2 linked regions of the Anolis sagrei genome follow. The protein of the gene in region 1 purifies or fractionates together with the protein of each later gene. This does not show direct contact. Links are inferred from orthologs where the notes say so. Each region holds a gene or a part of one and is shown in the gene's direction. Other genes may lie near its edges. The genes, in order: BPTF and HMGXB4.

Evidence for each region.
Region 2: the proteins of BPTF (region 1) and HMGXB4 fractionate together in Homo sapiens (co-fractionation; 3 studies listed by BioGRID, with this or other methods). This does not show direct contact. The link is inferred for Anolis sagrei from reciprocal best matches to the Homo sapiens genes BPTF and HMGXB4.

Annotation. Positions count from the first base shown.
Region 1 is NC_090022.1:180,069,324-180,086,025, reverse strand, and holds the start of BPTF (nucleosome-remodeling factor subunit BPTF), read left to right. Parts: upstream 1-10,506; 5' UTR 10,507-10,754; coding exon 10,755-11,478; intron 11,479-16,702. UniProt on the Homo sapiens protein: Regulatory subunit of the ATP-dependent NURF-1 and NURF-5 ISWI chromatin remodeling complexes, which form ordered nucleosome arrays on chromatin and facilitate access to DNA during DNA-templated processes such as DNA replication, transcription, and repair.
Region 2 is NC_090025.1:167,418,819-167,435,326, reverse strand, and holds the start of HMGXB4 (HMG domain-containing protein 4), read left to right. Parts: upstream 1-8,881; 5' UTR 8,882-8,969; intron 8,970-13,302; 5' UTR 13,303-13,394; coding exon 13,395-14,318; intron 14,319-14,818; coding exon 14,819-14,900; intron 14,901-16,508. UniProt on the Homo sapiens protein: Negatively regulates Wnt/beta-catenin signaling during development.

The DNA of each region.
Region 1 (16,702 bases):
TGAAAAAACCGTGAGGAATGCTCTGCACCAGAGCTGGGAATGGTGAGGTCCTCCAGATGTTGCTGAACTGCAACTTTCTGCATTCTTTGTCACAGACTTTTTGTATTTCACATTATATATTATCCCACCTTTCTCCTGCTATAGGAACTCAAGGCAACTACTGGAAGGTGCAGCCCAATAATATCTGGAGGAATGTAGATTCCCAGCCCTGATCTGCACTGAAGAACAATTTAAAATATATTGTTATAACCTTATACCAGGGGCAGGCAAGGTTTGGGCTGAATGCACCCTATGGACTATTTTCAGGCCCTCCCTCAGTCACAATTTTTTAAAAATTTCCAGCCCTTCTGGATCCCTTGGTCCAAAAGCAATTTTTGCAATATACTTCAAAAATATTTTTACCTTATGTTCACTAGAGCAGGGCTTCTTAAACTTTTGCAACCCATTAACATTTTTCACCTGAGAATTTTTTACTCGACCCTGAGTGTATAGGGATATCATATCACTATATACATCTAAATAATAAATAAATGTACTTCAAAACAATTTTTGCTATAGCTATACATAAATTTTACCATTTTACCAATTTTTAGCTATACATAAATTTTACTCTGAGTTACAAACATTTGACTTACAAACAACCCATCATTAAGAATGGGGTTGAGGCAACAGAAAGTGAGAGAAATCTACTACTAGGAAGGGAAATTCACTCCTGAAAGAGTTATCATGCTCTCAAGCTCAACTCAAGCTCTTATCACCAATCCTTGTTTCCACTACAGGTCACATTTTTCAAAATCCAATTCTCACAAAGACAAAAAATGAGGCGAAATCTTCCAAATGAGCACAGACAGCAAAACAATCACCATAGGGATGTTAACTTTTTACACTAAATATTTGGCACGTGCAATCCATGGTTCTAAATGGTTCTAAAGTACTTACAAAACTAAAGTTCTGGTGGTGAAAACTAGAGGGCGTTGGTGCTTTGCTTCTACAGTGTTGCTAAAATTCTGGTGGTGAAAATTTCAGAACTCTAACAAAACTTTCAAAATTTCATTATTATTTCATTATTGATTATTTTATGACAGAACCAATTAGGAACTGCCATTTATAATGAAATTTTGAAGCTTTTGTTAGTGTTCTGAAATTTTCACCAACAGAACTTTAGCAACACTGTAGAAGCAAAGCACCAGCACCCCCTAGTTTTCACCACCAGAACTTTAGTTTTGTAAGTACTTTAGAACCATTTAGAACCATGGATTGCACATGCCTACTAAATATCTATTTTGGCAGGAGTTACACTTAAAAGTGTACCTGTTCCAACTTACATGCACATTCAACTTAAGAACAAACCTATAGAACCTATCCTGTTCATAACTTGAGGACTACCTGTACTAAAGTTGAAAACTAATTGGAATACTAATGAGATGGGTGTGCTTGTTTATTTTTAAATTTAAAAAATCTTGGTGGAATATTTGATACTACAGGACACCGTATCATCAACATTTTTCATGCCATGATTTGTCACCGCAAGTGGCAGAATATTTGGCATTTGGTTGTCATCTCAAGTGGCAAAATGTACTCTGGCGACTCTTGCTTTTCTCCTGGATTCATATAAATATCTAAAACATTCATTATACAAAATTTTGGTGACAACCAGATTCAATTAGGGGCCACAACCCACTTTGCACCAGAGAGCATAGGCTGTATTTTCATCACATTTTGTGGGGCCTGTGGGTTAATTTAAGTCCTGGAGAGGATGTTTTTAAAGTCCACAAACATGGTGAAATTCTCTCCATAACCCCTAGCAGCTTTGTAGAGAGGAAGTGGACATTTCTTTTGCAGTAATAGATGCCGCCCTCCAAGGTCTCCTGGGGGCCTAATGGAGCTACCTGGCCTTCCACAGTTGTCTACACCCATCTACATAATAGATGCTGGCAAAAGAACTAAAGATGCATCCCCCTTCTACATTCATTGCCTGGATGAAATCACCTTCAATACACCAATACCGAAAAGGAGAAAAACATCAAAGTATCCTGTCTCACGTCAAAGGCTTGTTCTCTGAAACACAGCTAATCATGTTTTTCATATGGCTGCCGTTGTGGTACAAGGCAACAACCAAGCCACAATTATTGCTCACAGTGCCACAGAATCTAATATTTACTGACTTTTACAAAGCTACACATGTTGGACAGGAAGCCAGAAAACAACAGCAACAAAATTGTTGAAAACTGAACCCCAAAATAATGAACCCCACAACGATGAATTAGTGAAGCCATGTGGACTTCATTCCCAGTTTCAGTTTTATTTTTATTTACCTCCCCTGGAATGCTACAAAGAGACCATACATACCTCAGACTTCAGGGAAGGGTAACACCTTTGTTAATACAATCCCTTCACAATATCCCAGGAAGTGATATGGAACACACAACCAGCTTACGCAAGAGCCTCTGGGTCTTTTCCTGTTTTTCCTGATATGATCAGGTTTAATCCTAGGAACACTTCCTCATCTCAGTCACCAAATTAGATCCCCTTCGGGGGTTCCCATTGAGATTGCCAACACCTTGAGCACCTTTTGTTTACCCAACTGGCACACATTGTTTTAACCAGAGCTGGGATATCAAGACCAACTGCATCCCCTTCAATCATGCCCCTATACTGGATGTATCAATAAATTGACACAAATCTTCAAAATAACCCAATGACAGTTTATAAAAGTTTTCCACCACAGTTAAGACCAACCAACATGGCTAAAGATCTTTGAAAGTAAAAAAAAAATCACAAAAAATTATAAACAATTATTGGAGTGGAGCACTGAAAAAGATCTGATTAAAAACTGCATGATCAAATGGGCAAAGGACATAGGAAGAACAATACCGCTAGAGGACTGAGAAATAATGTGGAATAGGAGAATGAACTATACCTATGCGTACGCTCTTAAAGAGAATTGGATTAAAATGCTTTACTGATGGTATATGACTCCACATAAAATAGCGAAATTCAATAAAAATGTGAATGATAGGTGCTGGAAATGTGGGAAGTGTAGAGGGTCCTTCACCCATATGTGGTGGACCTGTGAAGTGGCTAGATCTTATTGGATGGAAATCTCAGAAATTTGCCAAAAAGTACTAAAAAAGAAAATCCTATTCAAACCTGAAAGTTTTCTTCTAGAGATGATAGATATACAGTGGAGTATCAATGAAGACAGGCTCTTTTCCTATATGATTACAGCAGTGAGAATAGTCTACGCTAAGTCGTGGAAACAAGAAACTAGGCCACAGATAGAAGAATGGATAATGGAAATTATGGATAAACTGACATATTTACTGACAGAGGCCCACAATAAACATATGAAGAAGACGGATTGGACACCCTTAAATATTTGGATGAAAGAAAATAAAGTACTTCTATTAATAGAACAGAAACAACAACAAGAATAAATCTCATTTATACAGACTCACTGCCAAGGAAATGAAGAGTAGAGAAATGTTTACTGTAAATGCTTATATGGTGAGAGACGGAAGAACACCCCCCCCCCCAAGTGTCTTCCCTACCCCTGTCTTCCCTCACCCCCTTCCTTTTTCCCGTACCCTAACGCACTCCCCTCCCTTTTCAAAGCTGTTTTTATTGTCAATGAAAAACCATGAATAAAATTATTAAAACAAAGACCAACCAGGGGAGTAGATCTTAGCTGGCCACATGTCCGGCCAATCAGAAGCCAGTGCAGTAGTCTTGAATGTTAGAAATAAATCTTTAAAATCAAAATGCTAGAAATAAATATTTTAAAAATAAATGTTCGCAATTGCAGTATGTCTATTATTTGGAGCACCGTCTCCACTGACATCCTCTTTTGCCATTGAGAATAAAGCCTCTGTTTTTGCTTCATCTCATCTGTGCCTCATCTGGCTTCCTGAAGGCTTGATACATTGGGCTCCGAACCTGTGGTCCTTACAGAAGCTGAAATCCCATAACAAAAGTATTAGCAGAATAAACCATGTGTTATATGTTGTATATGTGAGTCAAATGGTTATATGTTAGAAAAGGGAAACCTTGCCAATCAAAGTTGCCAAAGTGGAAACATTATTTCCACCACCTCCAAATGTTGTTGTTGTTCATTCGTTCAGTCGTCTCCGACTCTTCGTGACCTCATGGACCAGCCTACGCCAGAGCTCCCTGTCGGCCGTTACCACCCCCAGCTCCCTCAAGGTCAGTCCAGTCACTTCAAGGATGCCATCCATCCATCTTGCCCTTGGTCGGCCCCTCTTCCTTTTGCCTTCCACTTTCCCCAGCATCATTGTCTTCTCTAGGCTTTCCTGTCTCCTCATGATGTGGCCAAAGTACTTCAACTTTGTCTCTAGTATCTTTCCCTCCAGTGAGCAGTCGGGCTTTATTTCCTGGAGGATGGACTGGTTGGATCTTCTCGCAGTCCAAGGCACTCTCAGCACTTTCCTCCAACACCACAGCTCAAAAGCATCGATCTTCCTTCGCTCAGCCTTCCCTAAGGTCCAGCTCTCACATCCGTAGGTGACTACAGGGAATACCATGGCTTTGACTAGGCGGATCTTTGTTGCCAGTCTGATGTCTCTACTCTTTACTCTTTTATCGAGACTGGACATTGCTCTCCTCCCAAGAAGTAAGCGTCTTCTGATTAATGTCCAAATGATTAATGTTAAAAGATACCATAGTTTAAATGGTCTGCTTTCCCTATTTTCTATCGCCCAGTCATTGATCACAGCCATTTGTGTGCTTGTGTTCGGAACAGAAAGAAAAGGATATCACAAATATCATGCAGAGAGTGAGAGGAGGCAAATGCATTTTCTCCTCCGCTATTTGAATGGGAGAACCTACTTCTTTGTACTATGTATCATAGGTGACAAATTCGGGTGCTTCTCTGTTAAAAGGTAGGCCCAACTGTTTTGTTATGTATTTGTCTTTCCCTTTTGTGGTAAGAGCTGTCTGTGGAGAGCTTTTGTACTAAGAGAGCTTTTGTGACAAGCTTTTAGTATTCCTTTGGCTTTCAAAGCACAATTCTGAGGACTGAGATTGGGAGACCTCTATAGGTTGCCATGAAGTGAAATGTAATTTGCAAAAGAGATGGGTTCAAGCTAGCCTTTTGTTTTGTTATTGCACTGGATGGCTAAATTATTTAATGCCTACCAACTCTTACCATCAGAAAGTTCCTCCTGATGTTTAGGTGAAATCTCTTGTCCTGCAATTTGAATCCGTTGCTCCATTGTGTCCTAGTCTCCAGGGCAGCAGAAAACAAGCTTGCCCCTTCCTCAATGTGACGTCATGGCTATTATGTCTCTTCTCAACCTTCTCTTCTGCAGGCTAAACATACCCAGCTCTTTCAGTTGTTCCTCATAGGGCTTGGTATCCAGACCTTTGACCATTTTAGTCTGGACACCTTCCAGCTTGTCAATGTCCCTCTTAAACTGTGGTGCCCACAACTGGATGCAGTGTTATTCTAGGTGGGATCTGACCAAAGCAGAACAGAGTGGGACTATGACTTCCCTCAGTCGCAACACTGCACTCATGAGTAACATGTGGCTATATTTGCAAATGGGTCTTATAGCAATGTATAGAGAATTTGGTAGTACTATAAGCTTTTCTCTCTCTATGGAAATGATACCAGATCCCTTTGCATATGGATATTGCAGACTAAAATGACCATGCCTTTGAATTCTGTCCTGGATACATAGATACTAAAACTGGCTTCCAAAACCGAAAGTCCAATTTAGACTTGGAACATGTGCAAACCCCAAGCATGCCATGGAAACATAATTGGGATCAACCATACTGTGAACAACTGTGGGGTAGTGATTCTTTGCAAACACCCCAAATGAAGTCAATTCCTGGTTTGTGTACCTGGTTTGATTCCATCGGCGCTGCCTCCGAAAAATCCTGCAAATATCTTGGGAATACAAGCGGACAAATGTCAGCGTGGTGGAAGAAGCAAAGACCACCAGCATTGAAGCGATGGTCCTCCGCCATCAACTCCGCTGGACTGGCCATGTTGACCGGATGCCCGATCACCGTCTCCCAAAACAGTTGCTCTACTCCGAACTCAAGAACAGAAAATGGAATGTTGGAGGGCAGGAAAAGAGATTTAAAGACGGGCTCAAAGCAAACCTTAAAAACTCTGGCATAGACACTGAGAACTGGGAAGCCCTGGTCCTTGAGCGCTCGAGTTGGAGGTCAGCTGTGACCAGCAGTGCTGCAGAATTTGCACAAATGGAGGGCGAAAGAGAAAAACATGCCAAGAGGAAGGCGCGCCAAGCCAGCCCCGACCAAGACCACCTTCCACCTGGAAACCGATGCCCTCACTGCGGGAGAAGATGCAAATCAAGAACAGGGCTCCACAGTCGCCTATGGACCCACCGCCAGGACACTACACTTAGAGGACCATCACCCTCGGACTATGAGGGGTCGCCTAAGTGTACACCTTACTTCTTCAAGGTTAGAGAGCACGGAAATTTTTACTCTAAAGATCTCTCTAAACCTGATGCTAGCACTGTATGGAAGTAATGTGCCTGGATGCAGAATGGTTGCCGAATTGTTAATCTCTTCTCTGGGAGGCTGCAAAGTGATGGCCACCAGGCTGGCTTCTTTTCTAGTAGATTTTATTGTATTAACTCAATGTTTTAATTATTTATAATTACTGTTTGTTGTGTATTTTATTGTGTTTAATTGCAGGCATCGAATATGTGCCGATTGGAAGACGACCTGAGTCCCCCCTAGAGGGTTGAGAAAGGCGGGGTAAAAATACCTGAAATAAATAAATAAATAAATAAATATTATCAGTGAAGACTGTACCCTTTAGTGTACTCATTGCGGCTACTTATTAAATTTAAATCCCGACTTTCTCCCAACATAGGAATCAAGGCAGTGTACAGAACAACAACACAATACATTTTAAATCCTTAATACACAAGTTAAAACACAAATAAAGTAAATTTAATTTTTTTAAAAACACAACTGAAAAACACTAAAATGTTCAAAACACAATAAAATATAGTACTAACACACAGAGACTTCTCATTAAAAGCTCTATCTGCTGCAATATACTGAAAACTAAATGTCTTCTTAAATAAAGAATGGACATTGCCTGCCAGCAGATGGAGTCAACCTGATTTCCGATGTAGAAAGTTCCACAACTGGAGAGCAACCACTGAGAAGGCTGTGCTCTTTCATGTCCTCTATGTTATGACACAATATAAGGCAGAAATGGTTAAGATAATACATTCTTAAGTGCTTTTCATACAATCATCTGTCTATCTGTCTGTCTGTCCGTCCATCCGTCCATCCATTTTGAGGGGGAAGGGGATAGGTTGATATATTTTTAAGCTAAGGAGGCTGTTAGTAAGGTGGCTGTTCAAGTCCTGAACTGTAACGGACTAGATGAGGGCCAACAGATTGAAACTAAATCCAGACAAGACAGAGGTACTCCTGGTCAGTCAAAAGGCTGAACAGGGCATAGGGTTACAGCCTGTGCTTGACGGGGTTACACTCCCCCTGAAGGCGCAGGTTCGCAGTCTGGGAGTGATCCTGGACTCCTCGCTGAGCCTGGAGCCCCAGGTCTCGGCGGTGGTCAGGGGAGCTTTTGTACAATTAAAACTTGTGCGCCAGCTGCACCCATACCTTGGGAAGTCTGACTTGACCACGGTGGTCCATGCTCTGGTTACATCCTGTTTAGACTACTGCAACGTTCTCTACGTGGGGTTGCCTCTGAAGACTGCCCGGAAGCTCCAATTAGTCCAACGAGCAGCAGCCAGATTACTAACAGGAGTGCTGGTGTTAACCTATAAATCCCTAAACGACTCCGGCCCAGTTTACCTGTCCGAATGGATTCTCCCCTATGAACCATCAAGATTGTTAAGATCTTCTGGAGGGGCTCTGCTCTTGGTCCCACCATCCTCGCAATCACACCTGGTGGGGACGAGGGACAGGGCCTTCTCGGTGGTGGCCCCTCGGCTCTGGAACTCTCTCCCACTGGAGATCAGAACTGCCCCTTCTCTTTAGAAAACAGGTGAAAACCTGGCTCTGGAAACTGGCATTTGACGAGTGAGTTAATAACCCGTGACTACACAGACGGATGGTGATGAACTACGATTTCATTTTGAAGACTTGGCCTATGTAATTATATGATTGTATTTTAGTATTTTAATGTTTTAGTGTATTATGGGATGTGATGTTTTTAAATGATTGTCTGTGATACTATTGTTGTGAACCGGCCTGAGTCCCTCTGCAGAGGTGAAAAGTTCTAAATAAATAAATAAATAAATAATAAGCTCCCCTATTAATAAGATAGAAAATTTTAAAATATGTGTATATTGTATTGTATTGTTTAATTGAATGCTATGTTCACCTGCTTTGCATGGGCAGACCTATGCCAAACAGGGCAGGTATACTCGGCAATTGAGTTTACAGTTAGGCGATCCCTCGTTGTCCGAGGATGATGGTTCTCCAGGGTCAGTGTGCAGTATGTGGTGGATCCATAGGTGACTGTGGAGCCCTATTCTTGATCTGCATCTTCTCCCACAGTGAGGGCATTGGTTTCCAGGTGGAAGGTGGTCTCGGTCGGGGTTGGCACCTTCCTCTTGGCACTTTTCTCTCTTTTGCTCTCCATTCATGCTTCTTCAAATTCTACAGCACTGCTGGTCACAGGTGACCTCCATCTGGAGCGCGCAAGGGCCAGGGCTTCCCAGTTCTCAGTGTCTATGCCAGAGTTTTTAAGGTTGGCTTTGAGCCCATCTTTAAATCTCTTTTCCTGTCCTCCAACATTCCGTTTTCTGTTTTGAGTTCGGAATAGAGCAACTGCTTTGGGAAACAGTGGTCGGGCATCCAGATAACGTGGCCGGTCCAGCAGAGTTGATGGTAGAGGACCATTGCTTCAATGCTGGTGGTCTCTGATTCTTCCCAAGAGATTTGCAGTATTTCCCAGAGACAGCGCTGATGGAGTCATTCCAGGAGTTGCATGTGACGTCTGTAGACAGTCCACGTTTCGCAAGCATATAGCAGGGTTGGAGGGACAACAGCTTTATAAATAAGCACCTTGGTATCCTTACGGATGTCCCGGTCCTCAAACACTCTGCTTCATTTGGAAAAATGCTGCACTTGCAAAGCTCAGGCAGTGACTTTGGTGGTGCCAAGGTAGCGGAAATGGTCAACATTTTCTAATGTTACACTATTAAGCTGTATCTCTGGCATTGAGTAAGTAAGACAGACCACAGCAATGCGTGGCCGTCCCCTGCCACACATTGCTGTGGCCCAGTCTGTGTATATGTTTTGTGTGTGTATATATGTGTTTATGTGTTTGTATATATTTGTGTATATATGTGTGTGTGCATATATATATATATATATATATATATGGGTGTATACATTTGTGTATTTCTGTGTGTATGTGTGTATATATGTGTGTTTGTGCATATATATGTGTGTTTGAATGTGTGCATGTGTATATGAGTATATGTGTATATGTATATATTGTGTATTTTTGGGGTTTTTAAGTCTGTTTAGCTGGGGTTGTGTGTGCTTGTGTGTGTTTATTTAGGGGTGATGGTCACTTGTTGGACTGTTAGGTGTATTGTGTCCAAATTTTGTGTCAATTCGTCCAGTGGTTTTTTAGTTATGTTAATCCCACAAACGAACTTTACATTTTTATTTATATTGATATCCCAGTTCAAAGCGGAAAATATGGGGTTTTATTCAGCTGTGTGGAAGAGGCCTCAGATAATCCTGTACAAGGTGATATTGTGGATCATCTGCCTTGATCTCCTGGGTTCTGTGGCTGTGTGGAAGGGTGCAGAGGGCCCTTCCACACATCCATATAACCCAGAATATCAGTATCTGCTTTGAACTGGGTTATCTAAGTCCACAATGCCATATAACCCAGTTCCATGCAGATATTGTGGATGATCTGCCTTGATATCCTGGGTTCTGTGGCTGTGTGGAAGGACCATATAACCTAGAATATCAGTATCTGCTTTGAACTGGGTTATCTGAGTCCACACTGCCACATAACCCATTTCCAAGCAGATATTGTGGATGATCTGCCTTGATCTCCTGGGTTCTGTGGCTGTGTGGAAGAGCTATGTAACCTAGAATATCAGTATCTGCTTTGAACTGGGTTATCTGAGTCCACACTGCCATATAACCCAGTTCCATTGCAGATATTGTGGATGATCTGCCTTCATCTCCTGGGTTCTGTGGCTGTGTGGAAGAGCTATATAACCTAGAATATCAGTATCTGCTTTGAACTGGGTTATCTGAGTCCACACTGCCACATAACCCATTTCCAAGCAGATATTGTGGATGATCCGCCTTGATATCCTGGGTTCTGTGGCTGTGTGGAAGGGCGCTGGGAGAGGAGAGCCCTGCCGAGGCTCCTCAAGCAGTTCGAAGGCCTTCTGCTGGGCCGCCGCCGCCGCCTCGCGCAGCCCTCGCGCGCCCCCTGGCGGGCCCCCCTTGCGCGCGCAGCCCTGCCCACGTGACCCTCCCAAGGCCTGCCGCCGCTTCCCCGAGTCTGAGGCGAAGAAGAAGAAACAAGATGGCGGCCGGCGGCGGTCCGGAGCGGGGCGCCGGCGCTAGAGACTGAGCCCTTCCCCGGGCCGGGCCTCCGAGCTCCCTGCCGGGCCTCCGGGTCTCGTCCCCCAGCGCGGGGAGGAGGCGCTCCCGGAGCGCCCGCCGCCCTTCTCCAGCGGCCTCCCGAGCGGCCTCGCAGTCTCCCTCAGCCTGCCAGCCAGCGCCCAGCGATGCGGGGACGGCGAGGCAGGCCGCCTAAGCACCCGCAGCCGGCGGCTTCCAGAAGCGGGGCCTCGGCTGCCGCTGCGGCTTCCCCCACGGGGCCCACCGGGGGGCTGAGGTCGCGCCTGCGGGGCAGCAGCCGGGGCAGGTGGGCGGCCAAGGCCCAGGCGGGCAAGGCGGCCGGGCCCAGGCCGAGAGGGGCGGCGGCGGCAGCAGCATCAGCGGGGGGCTCTCCTCCCACCCGAGGGGGCGGCCGGAGGAAAGGCGGCGGAGGGAGCAGCACCCCTGGCGGGGGAGGCAGTAGTGGCCGGGGAAGGGGCAGGGCGGCCGCAGGAGGAGGAGGAGGCGGAGGCAAGAGCCGCCACAGCAGTAGTCAGGGCAGGGCCTCCTCTTCCCGGAGGAGCAGCAAAGTCGTGTACGACGACCATGAGAGCGAGGAGGAGGACGACGAGGAAGAAGAAGAGGAGAGCGCGTTATCCGAGGAGGAAGAGGAGGAGGAAGAGGGAGCCGACTCCGAGGGGAAGCCCGGCTCGGATGAAGAGGAGGCCATGGAGGGCGAGGAGGAGGACGAGGAGGTGGTGGTGGTGGAAAACGAGGAGGAGGACGGCGGCGTCGGTGCAGGAGGCATCCCTTCGGACTGCCCCGAGGAGATGGAGGAGGAGGACGACGACGATGGCAGCTACTGCACCGAAAGCAGCTTCAGGAGCCACAGCACCTACAGCAGCACCCCAGGTATAATCATAGAGTTGGAAGAGAGAGAGAGACCACATGGGCCATCTAGTCCAGCTCCATGCACAATCAAAACACCCCTGGCAGATGGCCATCCAGCCTCTATTTCAGTGTTTCCCAAACTATAGTTCCCTAGGTGTTTTGGCCTACAACTCCCAGAAATTTATTTTATTTACAGCATTTATATTCCGCCCTTCTCACCCCACAGGGATGGAGCCCCTGGTGGCGCAGTGGGTTAAACCCCTGTGCCGGCAGGACTGAAGACCAACAGGTCACAGGTTCAAATCCGGGGAGAGTTGGATGAGCTCCCTCTGCCAGCTCCAGCTCCCCAAGCGGGGACATGAGAGAAGCCTCCCAAAAGGATGATAAAAACATAAAATCATCCCGGCGTCCCCTGGGCAAGGTCCTTGCAGATGGTCAATTCTCTCACACCAGAAGCGACTTGCAGTTTCTCAAGTCGCTCCTGACACGATAACCCCCCCCCCCCCACAGGGGACTCAGAGACTCATATATAGCAAACATTCAATGCCAATTTTGGCATACGACGTATACAGACATACACATAAACAGACATATAAAGACATATACATAAATTCCAGCACCCCAGGTAGAATCATAGAGTTGGAAGAGAGAGAGAGACCACATGGGCCATCTAGTCCAGCTCCATGCACAATCAAAACACCCCCGGCAGATGGCCATCCAGCCTCTATTTCAGTGTTTCCCAACCTATAGGTCCCTAGGTGTTTTGGCCTACAACTCCCAGAAATTTATTTTATTTACAGCATTTATATTCCGCCCTTCTCACCCCGCAGGGGACTCAGGGCGGATTACAATGAACACATACATATATGGCAAGCATTCAATGCCAATTTTGACATACAAGGTATACAGACATATACATAAATTCCAGTCAGTTTGCCAGTTGTTAGGATTTCTGGGAGTTGAAGGCCAAAACATCTGGGGAGCCACAGGTTGAGAATCTGCTCTATTTAAATGCCTCCAAAGGAGGCGCCTCCACCACACTGCCAGTGGTTCTCAACCTGTGGGTCCCCAGATGTTTTGGCCTTCAACTCCCAGAAATCCTAACAGCAGGTAAACTGGATGGGATACCTGGGAGTTGTAGGCCAAAATACCCGGGGACTCACAGGTTGAGAGCAGGTTGATTTAATTCAGGGGTCCTCAAACTATTATTTATTTTGCACATTTCTACCCTGCCCTTCTCAACCCCCGAGGGGGGACTAAGACCCGGGGGCCAGATACAGCCCTCCAAGCTCATTTACCTGGCCCTCGCTCAGGGTCAACCTAAGTCTAAAATGACTTGAAAGCACAGGATAACAACAATTCCATCTCATCAGCCAAAAGCAGGCTCACACTTCCCATTGAAATACCAATAAATTTATATTTGTTAAAATTGTTCTTCATTTTAATTATTGTATTGTTTTAAAGTGTTTTGCACTACAAATAAGATATCAGTGTGCATAGGAATTAATTCATGTTTATTTATTTTTTCAAATTATGACCTGGCCCTCCATCAGTTTGAGGGACTATGACCTGGCCCTCTGTTTAAAAAGTTTGAGGACCCCTGATTTAATTGATAGTGCAATATTGTTGTTTTCTGTTGGGTTTTCGTATGTATGCGATGAGGTATTAAATTTTGCCATGAATATGTTGGAAACCACTTTGAGTCCCCCTGGGGTGAGAAAAGCAGTATACAAATGAAGTAAGTAAATAAATAAATAAACCACTGCTCAGAGGGAAGGAGTTCCTTCTGGGAGGGCTCCCTGAGGGCCATCCAGTCCAAACCCTATTCAGCCATGCGGGAGTCCAGCACAATCAAAGCATTCCCCACAGAGAGCTATCCAGTCTCTGCTTAAGTCTATTTAAATGCCTCCAAAGGAGGCGCCTCCACCACACTCTGGCAGTGGTTCTCAACCTGTGGGTCCCCCGATGTTTTGGCCTTCAACTCCCAGAAATCCTAACAGCAGGTAAACTAGCTGGGATATCTGGGAGTTGTAGGCCGAAACACCCGGGGACCCACTGGTAGAGAACAGGTTGATTTAATTGGTAGCGAAACGTTGTTATTGTTGCTTTTTCATATGTATGCAATGAGGTATTCAATTTTGCCTTGAATATGTTGGAAACCACTTTGAGTCCCCCTGGGGTGAGAAAAGCAGTATACAAATGAAGTAAGTAAGTAAATAAATAAATAAACCACTGCTCAGAGGGAAGGAGTTCCTTCTGGGAGGGCTCCCTGAGGGCCATCCAGTCCAAACCCTATTCAGCCATGCGGGAGTCCAGCACAATCAAAGCATTCCCCACAGAGAGCTATCCAGTCTCTGCTTAAGTCTATTTAAATGCCTCCAAAGGAGGCGCCTCCACCACACTCTGGCAGTGGTTCTCAACCTGTGGGTCCCCCGATGTTTTGGCCTTCAACTCCCAGAAATCCTAACAGCAGGTAAACTAGCTGGGATATCTGGGAGTTGTAGGCCGAAACACCCGGGGACCCACTGGTAGAGAACAGGTTGATTTAATTGGTAGCGAAACGTTGTTATTGTTGCTTTTTCATATGTATGCAATGAGGTATTCAATTTTGCCTTGAATATGTTGGAAACCACTTTGAGTCCCCCTGGGGTGAGAAAAGCAGTATACAAATGAAGTAAGTAAGTAAATAAATAAACCACTTATCAGGGAGTTCCTTCTGGGAGGGCTCCCTGAGGGCCATCCAGTCCAAACCCTATTCAGCCATGCGGGAGTCCTGCACAATCAAAGCATTCCCCACAGAGAACCATCCAGTGTTTGCTTAAAAGGTTACCACCTCACTTATGAGGCAGTACACCACTCCTGTGTGTTTTTATTTTTTGAGGGTAAGGAGAATATGTTATATGTATTGCATATACCAATTTAAAAGGTTTTAATGATTTTAAACTGGGTTGCTGTGAGTTTTCCGGGCTGTATGGCCATATTCGAGAAGCATTCTCTCCTGATGTTTTGCCCACATCTATGACAGGCATCCTCAGAGGTTGTGAGGTTTGTTGGAAACTAGGCAAGTGGGGTTTATAAATCTCTGCAATGTCCAGGGTGGGAGAAAACCCTTGTTTGGTTGAGGCAGATGGGAATGTTGCAATTGGTCAGTTTGATTAGCACTGAATAGCCTTGTAGTTTCAAAGCCTGGCTGCTTTCTGCCCAGGGGAATCCTTTGTTGGGAGGTGTTAACTGGCCCTCATTATTTAATGTCAGGAATTCTCCTGTCTTCTGAGTTTTGTTCTTTATTTACAGTCCTGATTTTATATATTTTTTTAACACTGGTAGCCAGATTTTGTTCATTTTCATTGTTTCCTCCTTTCTGTTGGAATTGTTCACATGCTTGTGGATTTCGGTGGCTTTTCTGTGTTGTCTCTGTGTTTTTAAACTATTTTAAAGTGGTTCTCGAGTTTCATACTATTTCACGTCTGTAGGTTTTGATGTGTATGTTGTGTTGTTTTAGTGCTGTCTGCTACTTTGAGTCTTAAGAGGAAAAATGTCCTATAAGTAGTAATAATAATGATCTCTCCAGGGTGGCCGGAGGGTCACTTTGCATGCCAGGTTGGAGGGGGTTTTAATGGGTTTGCAAAGCAGGCGGTTCTGGGGCAGATGTGCATCCTCTGCAAAAGGGTAAATATTAAGCATGGTGGAGTCTCCCTCATTACCCAAAAAGCTTGGGGCCAGAAGTGTTTGGGAATTCCTTTCTCCTAGATTTTGGAATATTTGCATTTGCCTGAAGAGATATAATGGAGATAGGACCCAAGACTGTACACAAATTTGTGTTTCTTTTACTTCATATAAATCAGTGGTTCCCAACCTTTTTTTGACCAGGGACCACTCTCCAACATTAGTATCAAAAGGGTTACGAATCAGTTTTTGGTTGATTTTAGATTCAATTTGGTTATTTGGGCCGCTGAATCAGAAAATTGCATTGGCTAGACTACATCAGCTCTAGTTTCTGATACGTATATGCTATCCAGTAGTCGTCATCTGCTAACCCACAGAAAACCATATTTAATAAGCCTCGGCACTATAAGAGAGTTTCATGAGACCAGTCACTCTCGTTGCACCGTTGTAGTAATGGTGAAGCTGTGGACCGTATTTGATTTCTTGCAGACCACTGGTGGTCCATGGACCACAGGTTGGGAACCACTGATATAGATGGAAGGTGACTTTAGGCATATTATTTTAAACATAATTTTGTTCATGAAATGATAGATGATAGATCTTAGCCATCCATGTCATCTATTTGGAGTATTTTGGCATTCTGATTAAGGGATGCTCAACCAGTGCAAAAAAGGGTCTTCTGTCACAGATGTGTCTCCAGAAACGTGGCAGAAGTTTTAGAAATTAAAACTTTAAAAACCATGGGGAGTGCTTGATGGTGGGAGGGACTGAGGAAGTCAGCAGGAAGTAAGCATTGCCTGGCAAGAAAGATGCCTGTATCACCAATTTGTAAAAACAAAAACAAAACAAAAAAGCCCAACAGCAATAAAGGAAGGAAGCATGTTCAGGATGCCTTTGACTTCGATAGAACAAAAATATTTTAGCAGATACCAGACTGTCGATATGTAGGTTTGTTAATGGAAAGATGAAAGCAGGTGCATTTAGAATGGAAATAAAATCAGTAAGTAGTAACGAGTACCAATGAGTTGAATATAATGAAACCCATCTGTATTTTTTTATTTTTTAAAGACAAAGTTATATCTTTTTACTACGATTGGATAACTTATCCAGTAATTTCAGTTTCAACCAATTTGGTTACACAAAACATTTTTATTTAGTTGCATTGCTCTTTTTAATTTTCTCTGATATTGTAAAACCTCATATTCGGCTTTTAAAAAAGTTATACTAAAACTAGTATATGCTCGACTTCGAATAGTTTGCAGAATGTGCTTTACATCGTAAATAGGTTTTTGGGAAAATGTTATTACATGACATCATGTATGTTTAACTAAAAAGTTGGCAAGAGTGAACCTTTCCAAAATTGTCTTATCTAGACATATATGCTTTAGAACACTGCTTCATAAACTGTGAGTGCTGAACCCAAATGGAATCAGTGTTAGGGTTGTGAAAAATTTGGCAGCATTAAAAGGTTTCTGAATGCCACCTAGACATATACAGAAATCTGTTAGCAACAATGTGTAGTGTTTATAGTGGACTTTGCAGAAGATGCTTCAGCTGTACTTCATAAAAAGGAAAATCA
Region 2 (16,508 bases), on another chromosome or scaffold:
TGGTTTTGGAGTTGTAGTTCACCTACATCCAGAGATCACTGTGGAGTCAAACAATGATGGATCTGGATCAAACTTGGCACGGATACTCAATATGCCCAAATGTGAACACTGGTGGAGTTTGGGGAAAAAAGAATCTTGACACTTGGGAGTTGTAGTTACAATCACAGAGCATTCTGAACCCCACCAACAATAGAATTGGGCCAAACCTCCCACACAGAACCCCCATGTGGGCCACAGCAATGCATGGCAGGGGACGGCTAGTGGCAAATAAATATGGTATATCCCAACAACTATCATACCGACAAAATACTCCAAAAAGATATGGACTGGTTACCACTGATAAAATATATGGAACAAGAAAAAATGAAGATACTAATATGAATATAAATGGAAGGTATCGACCCTTTGGAATACAGAAAAAGAGGAAGTAATAGAAATCGAGAAGCAAAATGGATAATATAGACTATAAATATCACAAAACAAAATATTGGAAACATAACACCCCCACCCTCGGATTCCCCCCCCCCCCACTCGATCCTACCCACCCCCAATCCCCTAGGCCCCATCTAACCCCACATACCTACTACCATCCTCAACTCTCTTTTTATTTTATTTTTTTTCTCTTTCCGAAAATCATCATATAGATTTTCAATACCTTCATGAGGCTTGCTGTCACTTACTCATAAGGCTTTCCTGTGATCTTCTGCATGCAAAGTATGCTCTCTATTCAAAATGTACTTTATTTTCTTTCCAACATCATATTCAGTACAGCAACATTTCATTCAGTGCAGCCACACAGCCTTTCTAAAAGCAAAGAACTAGACTGAACATTACTCAACTCAGGGATTTAATGCTCCTTCTTAGGGCCCTTCCACACAGTCATATAACCCATAATATCAAGGCAGATAGTCCACAATATCTGCTTTGAACTGGGTTATCTGAATCCACACTGCCATATAATCCTGTACAATGTGGATTTTATACAGATGTATGGAAGGGGCCTGAGTGTCTTCCAGCTTGATATTCAGAAACAAATACCCCTGTACCAACCACATCCATCTCTTTTTCAATTTTGATTTAAAAAATTAAATAAATTGTTTTACAAAGTGATTTTTAATGCATACTCTTGTTTAATTTTATAGTATTAGATTAGTTGTTTTGAATTTGTCATTGAATTTGCTCAGGCTAGCCTCTCCAACTGACTTGCTTATAACTTGCAAATATATATTGTGTATCCTGCACTCACTCCATTGTGATCACCTGTACTAAATCATCAAGCCCATCATAGATTATTTTGCATATTGCCACACCACATTCCTTTCAGTCATACCCCTCTCAGGAGCGGGCCATTAAACAGACTGATACTTCGAATTCACAAATGATGATTTATTGAATTTTCCACCAACAGCAAGACCCAATTGGAGAAACTGCTCCACAGAGTCCTCAACCAACTGAAGGACGGATCCTAGCCAGTGTGGGTTTCAACCAATCAGCTACTGGCGCAGGTGATCTGAATATCTGTCAAAATGAAATTAAAATGCTCTGTATTCTCTACTGTGGTATGCCAATCTTTGAGAGTGCAGATTACGCTGACATTCTTTCTGGTCAGGAAGAATAAATACCTCTGCTTTTGCCTTCTAACCCTTCCATGTCCTGATTTCACCTTCTGGAGTAGCTAGGTGCTCTGGGCTTCAAAACTCGAAATTTTGTAGTTAGCTGACATCACTTAACAATGTAGCACAAACACAATACATTTTTAAAACCTTTTAAAGGAACAAACAATAAACCAAACGTTGTGAAATGTAAATAATAGGTGTTGCTTTGTCTTATCTCAAGCAATGAGGCATGGAAAATAATGGAAAGGGGAATTCTGCTTTCCCTCTTTTCACGGTTTTCTCCTAGGACTTTCCGTTCCTATATTCACTCCCCAGTCTGAGTATAATTAATGTCTAATTTTCAATATGAATATAGCTAGATTTCATACAAACAACATCTTCCATTCATTTATCTATCTCTGGAATAAAAGCATGTCTGTTAATTTTTCATTTTTTATCACAACCATCAATGAGGGTTTTTGAGCATTGATAATGGCAGTTCTACTAGCCTTCAGAGTCTTTTCTCCATGATTTTTCAACCAGAAATAATACTAGAACAGAAAACATGAAGCAAACTAGAAAAAAACAAAAATAGGTTCAGTGACTGACATTTCTAATTTTCTTATTTATTTGTACTGGGAGGGGAAAAACACATTATTTTGACTGAATAAAATGGAAGGCACAATACATCAAAAGCATCCATAGTCTTCTAAAATTAATATAGAACTTTAGCGGACTGTGACATTAATTACACGGATGGAAAAAATACAACAGTACTATATTCAGTTATTTTGTTAGTAATGTAAGATTAGTAACCCAGGGGCTCCACAAATATCTTCCAAACCCTATACCTTTTTTTTAAAAAAACTTTTTCTTGAAAAGGAACAAACAATAAACTTAACTTGTGAAATGTAAGTAACAGGTGTTGCCTTATCTTATCTCAAGTAATAAGGCATGGAAAATAATTATGGAAGAGAGAAATCTGCTTTCCCTCTTTTCACCGCCTTCTCCTAAGACTATCTATTCCTATACTCCCCAGTCTGAGTATAATTAATGTCTAATTTTCAATATGAATATAGCTAGATTTCATACCAACAACATCTTCAATTCATTTATCCTTGTCTCTGAAATAAAAACATGTAAGTGGCAGTTAATTCTGCCAGTTTTACCAAAACCATCCATGAGGTTGTTTGAGCATTGATAATTGCAACTCTACTAGTCCTCACAATCTTTTCTTCATGTGTCTTCAACCAGAAATAATGCTGGAACAGAAAATTAATAACCGTAAAGCAAACTAAAAGAAAGAAAAAATAAGTTCAGTGATGGAACTTTCTGATTTTCTTATTTATTTGTTCTGGGAAGGAAAAAAAAACACATTATTTTGACTGAATAAAACAGGAGACACAATACATCAAAAGCATCCACAGCCTTCTAAAATTAATGTAGAACTTTAGCAGACTATGGCAATACCTACATTAATGGAAAAAGTACAAAAGAACTATATTCAGTTATAAGCTTATCACTAATATAGCATTAGCAACCCAGAAGCTCCACAAATCTCTTCCAGCTGCTCATTCCATAATAATATTAAATAATAAACTCTATTTGTATACCGCTGTATCTCCCCGAAGGGACTCAGGGCGGTTTCTAGCATAGGTAAAGCATTCAATTATCAACAGAAAATCATACAGAATAATCATTATAAAACATAAACATAATACTATTAGAATAGTCATACGTATTTAAAATTTAAAAGCCAGTTCCAGTACTAGTCAATCGGGCAAAATTCGACTACCAATGGTCAGAATTTCAGAGTGGGCCTAGACAACTATGAGAGAGCTGGCTAGTGCAACAAAGTAGCATAGGACCGGGGGAGTGGTTAAAGTGCAGAATAGGGTCTTAACTGATGGTCAGGGTAGGACCTGGGTCTACTCACTTCCAAGACCTGCTGAACAACTATAAGAGGGCTGGGCCAATGGGGAAATCCATAGTTGTGGGCGGTCAGTGAAAAGATCCTCTGGGCGATAGTCGCCAGTCAGGTTCCAGCTGGTTGGAGGAAGTGTCCACCAGACCAAAGTGTCCTAAAGGGCAAATAGTGCAGGGGATCCTGTAGGTAACTTGGTTCCAAACATGTAGGTCTTTAAAGATCAAAGCCAACACTTTGTGCCCAGATACTAATTGGTATGAGTGTAATATGCTCACTCCTAGATGTTCCTGTAACCAATCTAGCTGGCATGTCTTGAACTAACTGGCGTTTCCTAACTTGATGCAAACTACAGAGGTAACCCAATGTACAGTGAATTACAGAAGTCTATTATTATATAATTATGTTATATCTACAAAATAAGGAATAAATTCACACCTTTTGTGGATAAATATAACAATTTACTTTTATGTTTTGGGGTGTATTCATGTTTGTTTATTTATTAATTTATTTACCACATTTGTATATCGCCTTTCTCAGCCTGGAGGCGACTCAAGGCGGTTCACAGTCGGCAGAGATTCGATGCCTTAGCAACTATAAAAATACAGTTTAAAACAATTATAAAAACAATTAAAACGTTTAAAATGTGATATAAAAACAATACAACCTGTAAAAACAAAATAATTGGTGTCTCCTTACTACTCCTTGTCCAATTGCATCGTCAGTCATTCCATATTTTCATTTTCACCTAATTATGCTGCATTAGTTGAAAGCTTGCTCTAAGAGCCAGGTCTTAACCTTTTGCGGAATGTCAGAAGGGAGGGGAACGATCTTATATCCCTGGGGTGTTCCACAGCTGAGGGGCCACCACTGAGAAGGCCCTGTCTCTTGTCCCCGCCAAGCGCATCTGCAAAAAAGGCAGGATCGAGAGCAGGGCCTCCCCAGAAGATTTTAAGGTCCTAGATGTTCATAACTATTTTGTTTACTGCCCTCTGTGCAATATGGATTGGTGATGGAAATTTTTCTGTGCTGAACCCCTGCCATCATCTAAGGCCCCTTTGTAGAACCATTATAGTTATTGACTGTAATTGCTGTTTTAATGTTTTACTGTAATATGTATTATGATGTTTTATTGATTGTATGTGATATTATGGTTGGAAACCGGTCTAAGTCCCTCAAGAGAGGTGAGAAGGTCGGTATACAAAACTTTTAAATAAATAAATAATAGTAGGTGCTCTTCCTGACAGTTGTCACTCAGGCCCCTTCTACATTGCCAGATAATCCAGATTATCAAAGTGGATAATCCACATTATCTGATTTGATCTGGATTATATGAAACTACACTGCCAGATGATCCATTTCAAAGCAGATAACCTGGATTGTATATATTAGTGTAGAAGGGGCCTCAGGCCCTGTCTACACTGCCATATAATCCAGTGTGAACTGCATTATAATGGTCAGTGTACTCAATGTATTAGAATCTGTATTTTAATTGTATTGTGTTTTTAATCTGTGTTCCAACTATGTTGCACCCTGCCTCAAACTGTGAGGAAAGGCAAGTAACATGCTATTATTGTTATTGTATTACTAGTTTGGGTATGCAGTGATGCCCAGTGTTATTTGAAAAAGACATGGCTTGTTTTTGAATGTTAGATAGTGTTCGTTTGGTAATTTGTAACTCTATTTCTTTTTAGGAAGAAGTCAGTGTTTTCTTTTGTTTTTTAGGAATTCTCTCATTAAAAATGCATAATAATGTGAGTGAACTATAATTCCCAAAAATTGTGGGTCAATCACCCCAAACCCTGCCAGTATGCAAAGTTTGCCACATTGGGTCTGCGTGCCAAGTCTGGTCAAGATTCGTTGTCAGCAGGGTTCAGTGCTCTCCAACTTTAAATTATAACTCCCGGATTCCAGATCAATCACTTGCAAACCCCACACCACTATTCAAAGTGGGCCATACTGGATCTGTGTGTCAAGTTTGGTCCAGATCCATAGTCAGCTGGGTTCAGGGGGCTCTCTGGATACAAGGTACAACTCACTCCCAGGTGGGTCAGTCCTCCTCCCAACCCCTCCATTATGTTCTGATGGTCATCAGGGTTCTGTGTGCCAAGTTTGGCCCAGATCCATCAGAGTACTCTCTGGATGCAGTGTGAACTACAATTCCCACTCCAGTGGGTCAGTCCCTTAATCCCTCCAATATATTCAGTTAGCCATCGGGGTTCTATGTGCCAAGTATGGTCCGAATCTGCCATTGGTGGGCTTCAGAATGCTCTCTGGATGCAGAGTGAACTACAACTCCCGCTCTGGCAGGTCAGTCCCCCCACCCCCACCCCACACCTCCAGTATGTTCTGTTAGTCATGGGGGTTCTGTGTGCCAAGTTTGGTCTAGATCTGCCATTGGTGGGCTTCAGAGTGCTCTCTGGATAGAGGGTAAACTACAACTCCTATCCTGGTTGGGCGGTCCCCATAAACCCCTCCAGTACATTTGAACTGTGGTGTTGGAGGAAATTTTTGAGAGTGCCTTGGACCACGAGAAGATCCAACCAGTCCATCCTCCAGGAAATAAAGCCCAACTGCTCATTGAAGGGAAGGATAGTAGAGGCAAAGATGAAGTACTTTGGCCACATCATGAGAAGACAGGAAAGCTTAGAAAAGAAAATGATGCTGGGGAAAATGGAAGGAAAAAGGAAGAAGGGCCAACCAAGGAGAAGATGGATGGCATCCTTGAAGTGATTGGCTTTACTCTGAAGGAGCTGGGGGTGGTGACGGCCAACAGGGAGCTCTGGCGTGGAATGGTCCATGAGGTCATGAAGAGTCGGAAGCAACTGGACGAATAAACAATAACAACACGTTCCATTAATCATCAGGGTTCTGTGTGCCAAGTCTACTCCAGATCCATCATTGGTGGGGGTCGTAGGTTCGAATCCAGGGAGAGTGCGGATGAGCTCCCTCTGTCAGCTCCAGCTCCCCACGCGGGACATGAGAGAAGCCTCCCACAAGGATGGTAAAACTGCAAAACATCCCCTGGGCAACGTCCTTGCAAACAGTCAATTCTCTCACACCAGAAGCGACTTGCAGTTTCTCAAATCGCTGACACAAAAAAATGGTGGGGGTCACAGTGGTCTTTGGAAGTGGGAGCCAATAGGAAAGCTGCTGCAAACTTACATCTACTATTATTATATAGATACTAGCGGTCCCCTGCCACACGATGCTGTGGCCCAGTCTGGTGATCTGGAAAATAAAGTAATGAGAAAGTGTTGGTTTCTAATATATGTAATGTCTTTATGCTTGTGGGTAAACAGTATTTCTTGCTATTTCTTTGCCAGTGTTGATGTGGAGATTGTCTGGTTTGCCTACTCTGGGACATTCAACATATAATTGTCCTTCTTTAGGGGTCCCTTTCAAATCTATGTTACTGCATCTGTCATATACATGTGTGTGTGTGTGTGTGTGTGTGTGAATGGCTGGATGGCCTTTTGTCAAGAGAACTTTCATTATGTTTGTTGCCCTGATTAAGGGAGTTGGACTGGATGGCCTTAAGGCAGCATTTCTCAACCTGGGAAGTCAAGACCCCGGGGGGAGGAGGTCACCAGGGGGTATCAGAACAGTCACCGAAGACCACTAAAAACACACACAGTATTTTCTGTTGGTCATGGGGGTTCTGTGAGGGATGTTTGGCCCAATTCCATCATTGGTGTGGTTCAGAATGCTCTTTGATTGTAGGTGAACTATACATCCTAGTAACTACAACTCCCAAATGTCAAGGGCTATTTCCCCCAAACTCCATCTGTGTTCACATTTGGGCATATTGATTATTCCTGTCAAGTTTAGTCCAGATCCATCATTGAGTCCACAGTGTTCTCTGGATGGAGGTGAATTACAATTCCAAAATTCAAGGTCAATGCCCACCAAACCCTTTCAGTAATTTCTGATGGTCATGGGAGTCCTGTGTGCCAACTTTGATTCAATTCTATCGTTGGTGGAGTTCAGAATGCTCTTTGATTGTAGGTGAACTATAAATCCCAGCAACTACAACTCCCAAATGACAAAATTATATTTTTTTGTGATGGTGACTCCTTGTGTAGTGAGACATTTTGTTGCCAAATTTTGTGTGATTTCGTTCATTGGTTCTTTTGTTTTTAATGTACTCATTATGCACAGAGCATTTTTATATATATAGCAGTACGTGTGAAAAAGATCTTGGAGTCCTTATGGACAACAAGTTAAACATGAGTCAACAATAAGATGTGGTGGCAAAAAAAGCCAATGGGATTTTGGCCTGCATCAATAGGAGCATAGTGTCTAAATCTAGGGAAGTCATGCTACCCCTCTATTCCGCCTTGGTTAGACCACACCTGGAATATTGTGTCCAATTCTGGGCACCACAATTGAAGAGAGAGATTGACAAGATGGAATGTGTCCAGAGGAGAGCTACTAAAATGATAAAGGGTCTGGAGAACAAGCCCTATGAGGAACGGCTTAAGGAGCTGGGCATGTTTAGCCTGAAGAAGAGAAGGCTGAGAGGAGACATGATAGCCATGTATAAATATGTGAGAGGAAGCCACAGGGAGGAGGGAGCAAGCTTGTTTTCTGCTTCCCTGGAGACTAGGATGCGAAACAATGGCTTCAAACTACAAGAGATTCCATCTGAACATTAGGAAGAACTTCCTGACTGTGAGAGCCGTTCAGCAGTGGAACTCTCTGCCCCGGCGTGTGGTGGGGTTTCCTTCTTTGGAAGCTTTTAAACAGAGGCTGGATGGCCCTCTGTCAGGGGTGATCTGAATGCAATATTCCTGCTTCTTGGCAGGGGGTTGGACTGGATGGCCCATGAGGTCTCTTCCAACTCTTTGATTCTATGAAGATAAAGATTGAGATTAATGCATTTATTGTTATTATTATGTGCCTCTTCTCCGCCCATTTTACTGAGTGCTTCCCAATATTCCTGGCAGAATGGGATCTAGAAACACAACAGAGCGACCCAAAGCTGCCACCATCCTTCTCCACCCTCTTCCTGTTCGACTGAAAGAGTGAAAGGGAAATGGCAAGCTTTAGGCTTCATTTGAAATCTCGCGATAGGTTTGGAACCCTCTTTTCCGCCCTCTCGGCTCTCGCGAGATGTACCCTCCTCGTCTCGCGAGAGCAGCGGCCTGCTTCAGAGGAGTTTGGTGCGCTTTCCCCAGCGGATCTTGAGAGACCCCGTCGCGATGTTTTTGCGTCATCGTTTTCCACAGTTTGAAGTCTGAAGTCTCCCCGCTTTCTGGAAACACGCAAGTCTTCTTACTTGTGTTTAAAAAGCAGCTTTCTTTCCCTCCCGGGATACGAATCAAATAATGTTCTGCAGAGCAAACGTCTTGAGTAGCTGCTTGGCTTCCAGATATTGACAGGATGGAAGGTCATTCTTTGTTCTCAAGGGAAATGTTTCCTTTCTCAGCAGAGTTCGCTTTTAAACGGTAAGATTTCAGACTGTTAAGGTTCGTTGGTATTTTTATTATTATTTTAATGAATTAAATGCTATTTCACTTTTTTTTACTGTTTTAAATCGTTTTAAAAGAATGTTTTTGTCTCTTTTGCATTGGCTAGGGAGACCTAGAATTCTGACAGGTGATAAATTTTATCTATTTGTTTATTTATTTATTTATCAATTTTATATACCACCACTCCCCGAAGGCTCAGAGCGGTTTACAATATACATATGCAATACATTACATTTAAAATCAAAGAAAAATTTCAGTCAACAAGATTCAAATGCCAGCCTAAATAAATATGTTTTACAAGCTCTACAAAAAGATAGTAAGTCTCGTAGAGCTTGTGTTTCTGCTGGCAAGGCATTCCACAGGTAAGGAGCCACCACCGTGAATGCTCTACACCTAGTGGACATCAGGTGAAAGGTCCAAAAATTGGGAACTTCGAGGAAGTTCTGATCGTCTGAACGGAGTGATCTCGGGTGTTGGTAGGGGGTGAGGCGGTCCATCAGATATTCCGTCCCCAGGCCATATAAGGCCTTAAAAGTAAGAATCAGCACTTTGAAGGTAATCCGGTGCTCAATCGGCAACCAGTGCAGTTGCTGCAAGATTGTAGTGCAGAAGGTGTATTTTCGAAGGCTTTCATGGCTGGAATCACTGCATAGTTGTAGGTTTTTCAGGCTGTATGGCCATATTCTAGAGGCATTCTCTCCTGACGTTTCGCCTGCATCTACAGCAAGCACCCTCAGAGGTTGTGAGGTGCCATATAGCCCAAAAAACCTACAACAACCCAATTGTGGAAGGCTTTCATGGCTGGAATCACTGGGTTGTTGTAGGTTTTTCAGGCTGTATGGCCATATTCCAGAGGCATTCTCTCCTGATGTTTCGCCTGCATCTATGGCAAGCATCCTCAGAGGTTGTGAGGTGCCATATAGCCCGAAAAACCTACAACAACCCAATTGTGGAAGGCTTTAATGGCTGGAATCACTGGGTTGTTGTAGGTTTTTCGGGCTGTATGGCCATATTCTAGAGGCATTCTCTCCTGACATTTCACCTGCATCTATGGCAAGCATCTTCAGAGGTTGTGAGGTGCCATATAGCCCAAAAAACCTACAACAACCCAATTGTGGAAGGCTTTCATGGCTGGAAGCACTGGGTTGTTGTAGGTTTTTCAGGCTGTATGGCCATGTTCTAGAAGCATTCTCTCCTGACGTTTCACGTGCATCTATGACAAGCATCTCAAAGGTTGTGAGGTGCCATATAGTCCGAAAAACCTACAACAACCCAATTGTGGAAGGCTTTCATGGCCAGAATCACTGGATTGTTGTAGGTTTTTCTGGGCTGCAAGGCCATGTTCCAGAAGCATTCTCTCCTGACGTTTCGCTTGCATCTATGGCAATCATCTTCAGAGGTTGTGAGGTGCCATATAGCCCAAAAAACCTACAACAACCCAATTGTGGAAGGCTTTCATGGCCGGAATCACTGGGTTGTTGTGAGTTTTCCGGGCTGCAAGGCCATGTTCCAGAAGCATTCTCTCCTGACGTTTCGCCTGCATCTAAAGAACTAAAGACATGGATGTTCCACTGTACATTCAGCCATATAGTTCCCCCAAAAATTCTGGTTCCCAGTTTGATCCATAATTAGATTTTGCTCATTTCACTGTGCTCTTTTAGAGACATAGTGCTTTCCTTACATCCCCCCCCCCCCCCCCGGGTCCTAATCTTGTCATCTGCCATTAACACTTTAACCATCAACCCTGTCCTTTGGCAACTGATTTACACCAGCCACCACTGAAACTCGGATCCATGCACTACTCAAACCTTTGAAGGTTGTTAAATATTCGCTATGTATTGTATTCTGTGGTTGTTTTATATTGTTGAAATGTTTTATGAATTTTTTTGTTATAATTTATTTTAACTATTTGTAATCTTGGGCTTGTCCCCATGTAAGCCACCCCGAGTCTCCGCAGGGAGATGGAGGCAGAGTACAAAAATTAAGTTGTTATTATTATTATTATTATTATTATTATTATTTTAAACACAGCAAGATGAGTCCACAGCAGCCAAAATCACTCTGCTGGCTGTTATATTGTATCACACGTCGGACACTTCCCAAGTGTGTAGGACTGTGTGATGTATCGGTGAATAATGCGTGCAAATCCCAGTAAGGTGGCCTTTTGCAGCTGGCAGATGGTAATTTTGTCGGCACCGATTGTGCTTAAGTGCAGGCCAAAGTCTTTAGGCACTGCACCCAGTGTGCCGATAACTCTTTGACAACTTGGCCTTATGTAAGAACATGACTGCTTTTTAATGTATTTTTATGTATTATGTGATGTGATGTTTTTAAACTACTGTTCATGAATCTTGTTGTAAACCGGCCTGAGTCCCTCTCCGGAGGTGAGAAGACCGGTATATAAAAGTTCTAAATAAATAAATTCTAAACCACTGGGACCACCTTTACTGGCCTGTGCCAGAGTCTTTGCAGTTCAGTCTTTAAATCCTCATATCATGTCATTTCCAGTTGTTTCTCTTCAATCCTGCTGTCGCCTGGGATTGCAACATTGACGATCCATACTTTGTTTTTTAACACGATCGTGAGGTTAGGACTACTGTGCTCCAAAACTCTGTCAGTCTAAATTCGGAAGACCCAGAGTAGTTTGATATCTTCATTTTCTGTAACTTTTTCAGCTTGTGATCCCACCAGTACTTTGTCGCAGGCAGATGGTATTTGTGGCACAAGTTTCAATTATTCATTTGAGCAATCGTGTTATGCCTCTGCTTGTAGTCTGTCTGCGCAATCTTCTTGCAGCAGCTGAGGATGGGATCTATTGTTTCATCTGCTTCCTTGCAGAGTCTACATTTGGGATATGTCATCGACTTTTCAGTTCTGGTTTTGATGGCATTTGTTGTAATGGCTTGTTCTTGGGCTGCCAGAATCAGGCCCTCCGTCTCCTTTTTCAAAGTTCCATTTGTGAACCACATCCATGTTTTTTCTTTGTCAATTTGGCTCTCAGTTTTTCCCAGGAACTTTATTATTATTATATCTATGGCAGTCATCCTCAGAGGTTGCAAGGTCTGTTGGAAATTAGGAAAATTGAGTTTATATATTTGTGGAATGTCCAGGGTGGGAGAAAGAACTCTTGTCTGTTTGAGATAGGTGTGAATGTATCAATTGGCCACAGTAATTAGCATTTAATGGCCTAGCAGTTTCAAGGCCTAGCTTCTTATTGCCTTGGGGAATCCTTTGTTAGTAGGTGAAAAGCTGGCCCTGATTGTTTCTTGTCTGGAATTCCCCTGTTTTTGAGTATTGTTCTTTATTTACTGTTATGATTTTAGAGGTTTTTAATACCTGTAGGCAGATTTTGTTCATTTTCATTATTTCTTCCTTCCTGTTGAAAATGCTTGTAGACAAGAGTTCTTTCTCCCACTCTGGACATTCCATAGATATATAAAACTCACTTGCTGAGTTTCCAACAGACCTCTCAACCTCTGAGGATGCCTGCCATAGATGTGGGTGAAATGTCAGGAGAGAATGCTTCTGGATCATGGACTTATAGCCCGGAAAACTCACAACAACCCAATAAAGGAATTATTCTTAGTAAGAAAGGGGTAATTAATATTATTGAACACCTTGTTTATTTAATGTTTCATTATGTATATGTGAGGTGGGAAATGTGAAAAATGTCTTTTAAAGGGGGATAAGCTCTCAGTTAATGGGGGGCAGTATGTAAATGTGTTAAAATTGAGTAGCTTTTTGTAGCAGACACGTTTATTGGGTTGCTGTGAATTTTCCAGGCTGTATGGCCATGTTCCAGAAGCATTCTCTCCTGACAGGCATCATCAGTGGTTGAGGGGTCTGTTGGAAAGGCAAGTGAGGTTTATATATCAGTGGAATGTCTGGGGGGTGGGGGGGGGGAGAGAGAGAGAAAAAAACTCTTGTCTTTTGGGGGCAAGTCTGAATGTTGCAATTGGCAAAAAAATAATATGCTTCAGGATAAGACTTTATTTTATTTATTTTTATTGTTTTATTGTGTATATAGGAAATAAAACAGACAATAAAACGTAAAAGATATACAAAAGAATAAACAGGTTTGCAAAATGGTATGCAGCCAGTGCTCGTTAAATGTGTGAAAAATCAAAATTGGCTGTACAGTTATTATACCTTAACATATCTGTGTAGTACCTATTTAACCAAATCTCTAAAGCAAGCAATTTGGAAGCCTATCAGTTTCATGAGATATTTTAAGCTGTGTAGGAGGAAATATGTTTGATGTTAGGTAGGCATCCAGCCTTGTTTGATCCTTCCTTCTGGGTCCTTTCAGGTCTTTCCTTTTTTGAGCAATCCTTGCCTTTGGAGTCAACTTCTAAAAAGAGGAGAAAATCAATATTGAGTCCACCCTCTACTGACACTGCCATGGATCACCATAAGACCATCACCTCTCCGCTTGCCACTGGCTCCAAGTCCTCTAAAAGGCCATCGGAGAAATCTCATTCTTCATTTAGTACTTCTGGCCATTCAGAGAGCAAGAAGGAGCACCATAAGAAGAAGCTGAGTGGGAGCAGCAGTGACCTGTCTTTGGATGATAGCACTTCTCACAAGTCCAAGAAAATGAAGCCCCCCTTTGTGAATACTGAAATGTTGACCTTGCGTGAGCCTGATGGCTTAAAGATGAAGCTTATTCTTTCACCTAAAGAAAAGGGAGGAGGCATGATAGAGGAGTCCTTTCCCCATACTCCAACAATAAAAAAATCATCTAAAAAATCTAGTCGGGATGAACACAGTTCACTTCACTCAAGTCATGACTCTCATGGCTTCCTGAAATCATCTCGAAAGAAGCACAAGTCATCATCAGAAGCACATCTACCTCCAGCTCCCGAGAGCTTTAGCCCAGACACATCCCTTTTCTCAGAAGGACAAAGCACTGAGTTTGAGCTGCCAGGCCTGGAGCCACAATTGGAATCAGGTTCATCTTCTGGAGGAGAGCTGGAAGCTGGAGAGCTCATAATTGATGATTCATATCGGGAGATAAAGAAGAAAAAGAAATCCAAGAAGAGTAAAAAGAAAAAAGACAAGGAGAAGCACAAGGATAGGAAACACTCCAAATCTAAAAGGAGTTCAGGACTTTCGTCTTCATTGGTGGTAGCAGAAGTCACGGCCCCATTGCCAGTCTCACCAACAACCACACCATTTGCCATTCCTGCTCTTCCTTCTCCTCCCCTCCCACCACCGCCGCCGCCGCCGCTGCCGCCACCACCTGTTTTCCATACTGATGGTCAGAGTGAGAAGAAGAAGAGGAAGGAAGAAAAAGAGAGGGCTGAAAAACTGGAAAAGGAAAAGGTAAAATGCCATTGCAGAGTGAGTGGGTGAAAGCAATTATTGGTATGAGAGTGAAATTAGACCTGAACTGAGCAGCCACAGATACACAATCAGAATTCAGATTTTATAACAGATGTTTTATGCATGCAAAAGTTGATGCAGGTGCTGTTTTTTTATTATTAGTTATGAAAAAACCCACATGCACACACATACACCCCTAAATAATTTTCTTCCTACTGGCAGACAAAAAAAGTATTGCATGTCTTTGAGAAGTACTCAGTTTTTCCCCCAGAAATCAGTGTCAAAACAAATTTGTCACAACATTATCCTTCTATTTTATGCCAGTGTTTTTGTAAGTATTTAGCTAATGCATATCAGATGGCAGACATTTGAAAGAAACCTGCTTACTTGTGAAAGAGACACACATAAACCTTTTCTTTAGAAATTTCTACTGGCACCAGAAATGTGTTGATACAGATATACACTATAAAATATTCCCTCCCCCTCCCATTTTCTTTTAGCCAAAGAAGAAAAACATGTCTGCCTACCAAGTGTTCTGTAAGGAATATCGTGTGAACATTGTGGCTGAGCATCCAGGAATAGGTAAAATAGCAGGATATAAGGGGTCGATTTGTTTATTTGTATTTCTTGTATTTTTCATTTTTCTTCATCTGAACTCTTGGGATATTCCCCTAGGTGTAAAAGGCTCTCTCAAACCCACTGATTAATTGAAGTGCTGAGCAACAGCTATTCCTTAATATCCCTGACCACAAGACAGAAAGAATGTTCGCTTGCTCGCAGTTAAATTTGAAGAATCTGGGAACATTGTACAACCCCCCCCCCCCCCCCAAAAAAAAAACCACACACACACACAATTGAAAATGATAACGATGTAATAAAAACATTAAGACCAAACAGTAAACAGCAAGCTTGTAACCAGGAACAGACTTTTACCTAAACAGTTTGAGAAAATAAAAGGCCAGAGAAGCCCCAAATGGGGCACCACCACTAAAAAGCTTTGAAGGTGAGGTGTGCAACTGTGACCATCCAGATATTATTGAACAGAGCCTGTCATTGAACTGAATCATTGGTGAGGGATAATGGGTTTTCCAGCTCTCCTTTCAAGCAGAAAGCGAGAAACTATTTATTTCAGGAGTGACATATTCTATTTATCCAGAGACCCTATGTATAGTTTCTTACATTTTATCGTAACTGCCGTTTTTGAGTATTCTTCTAATGTAACCCCCCCAATAAAACACAGCAGTAATTGCAGTACTCGGAACACTTCACAAAGAAAGAGGTGTAGTTATGCATAGTGTAACCCTATGTGTTCCAGGTGGGATTCTGGAGCACTGATCTGATCTGGGCAATAAATGTCTCTTCAGATGATACGCTTGGGAGAAACTGTAAAATAAGTGGTCTGTTCAGAAAACATGAATGTAAAAGTAGGATGCATTTAGGCAAGGTTTTTATAAAGGAAATTTGTATGAAGTGAGTGAAGATAGATTCAACAGTTACTACATGTTCATGTTCAGAAATAGACCCTCTTCACTTTGGTAGGATACACTCCCATGTAAGTGTGCATAGGCCTAGGGAATATAACTACCATGGAGTGGGGAGAGGAAGTGAGGGCATTGCTTCACAAACAACAATTCTGCCCCTCCCCCCCCCCCCGTGAAATTTTTCTTTTTCAAAAATTTAGCATTACAAAGTGAAATAATGAAAAGTGTTAACAGCTAGAACTTTTCTATTAGTTGTGTTATCATCCCCTTAACAACTTTGCCTGCTGCTTTTTCTTCTTCCGATGCTTAAAACTGTATTTTTAAATGTTCAACCAAGTTTGGGATTCCTGCAATCATAGTAATTTGGTTGGCAGAATACTTGGGACAGGAGGATGAAAAGAAATAATCACCTTATTCCCCACTCCGTAGCTATGCCATTTTATAGGACTGCTGTCTGAAGGTTGGGGGGAAAGGATGACCTGGTTTTGGTTTAGTGCTATTAGATATTAGTTAAAAACAATGTTCTGGAATAGTAAGCCAGACACTGTTAACATTTTTAGTGGTAACAAACATAACAGCATTAATATTTTGTGTCACCTTTGGTGATTTGATAGTGACAGCTGTTCCCAGATAAGGGTGATATGGCCCCTATGGTTCATTGTTCCATTATATTACACTAATTCTTTGTACAAGGGACTATCCTTTAAGA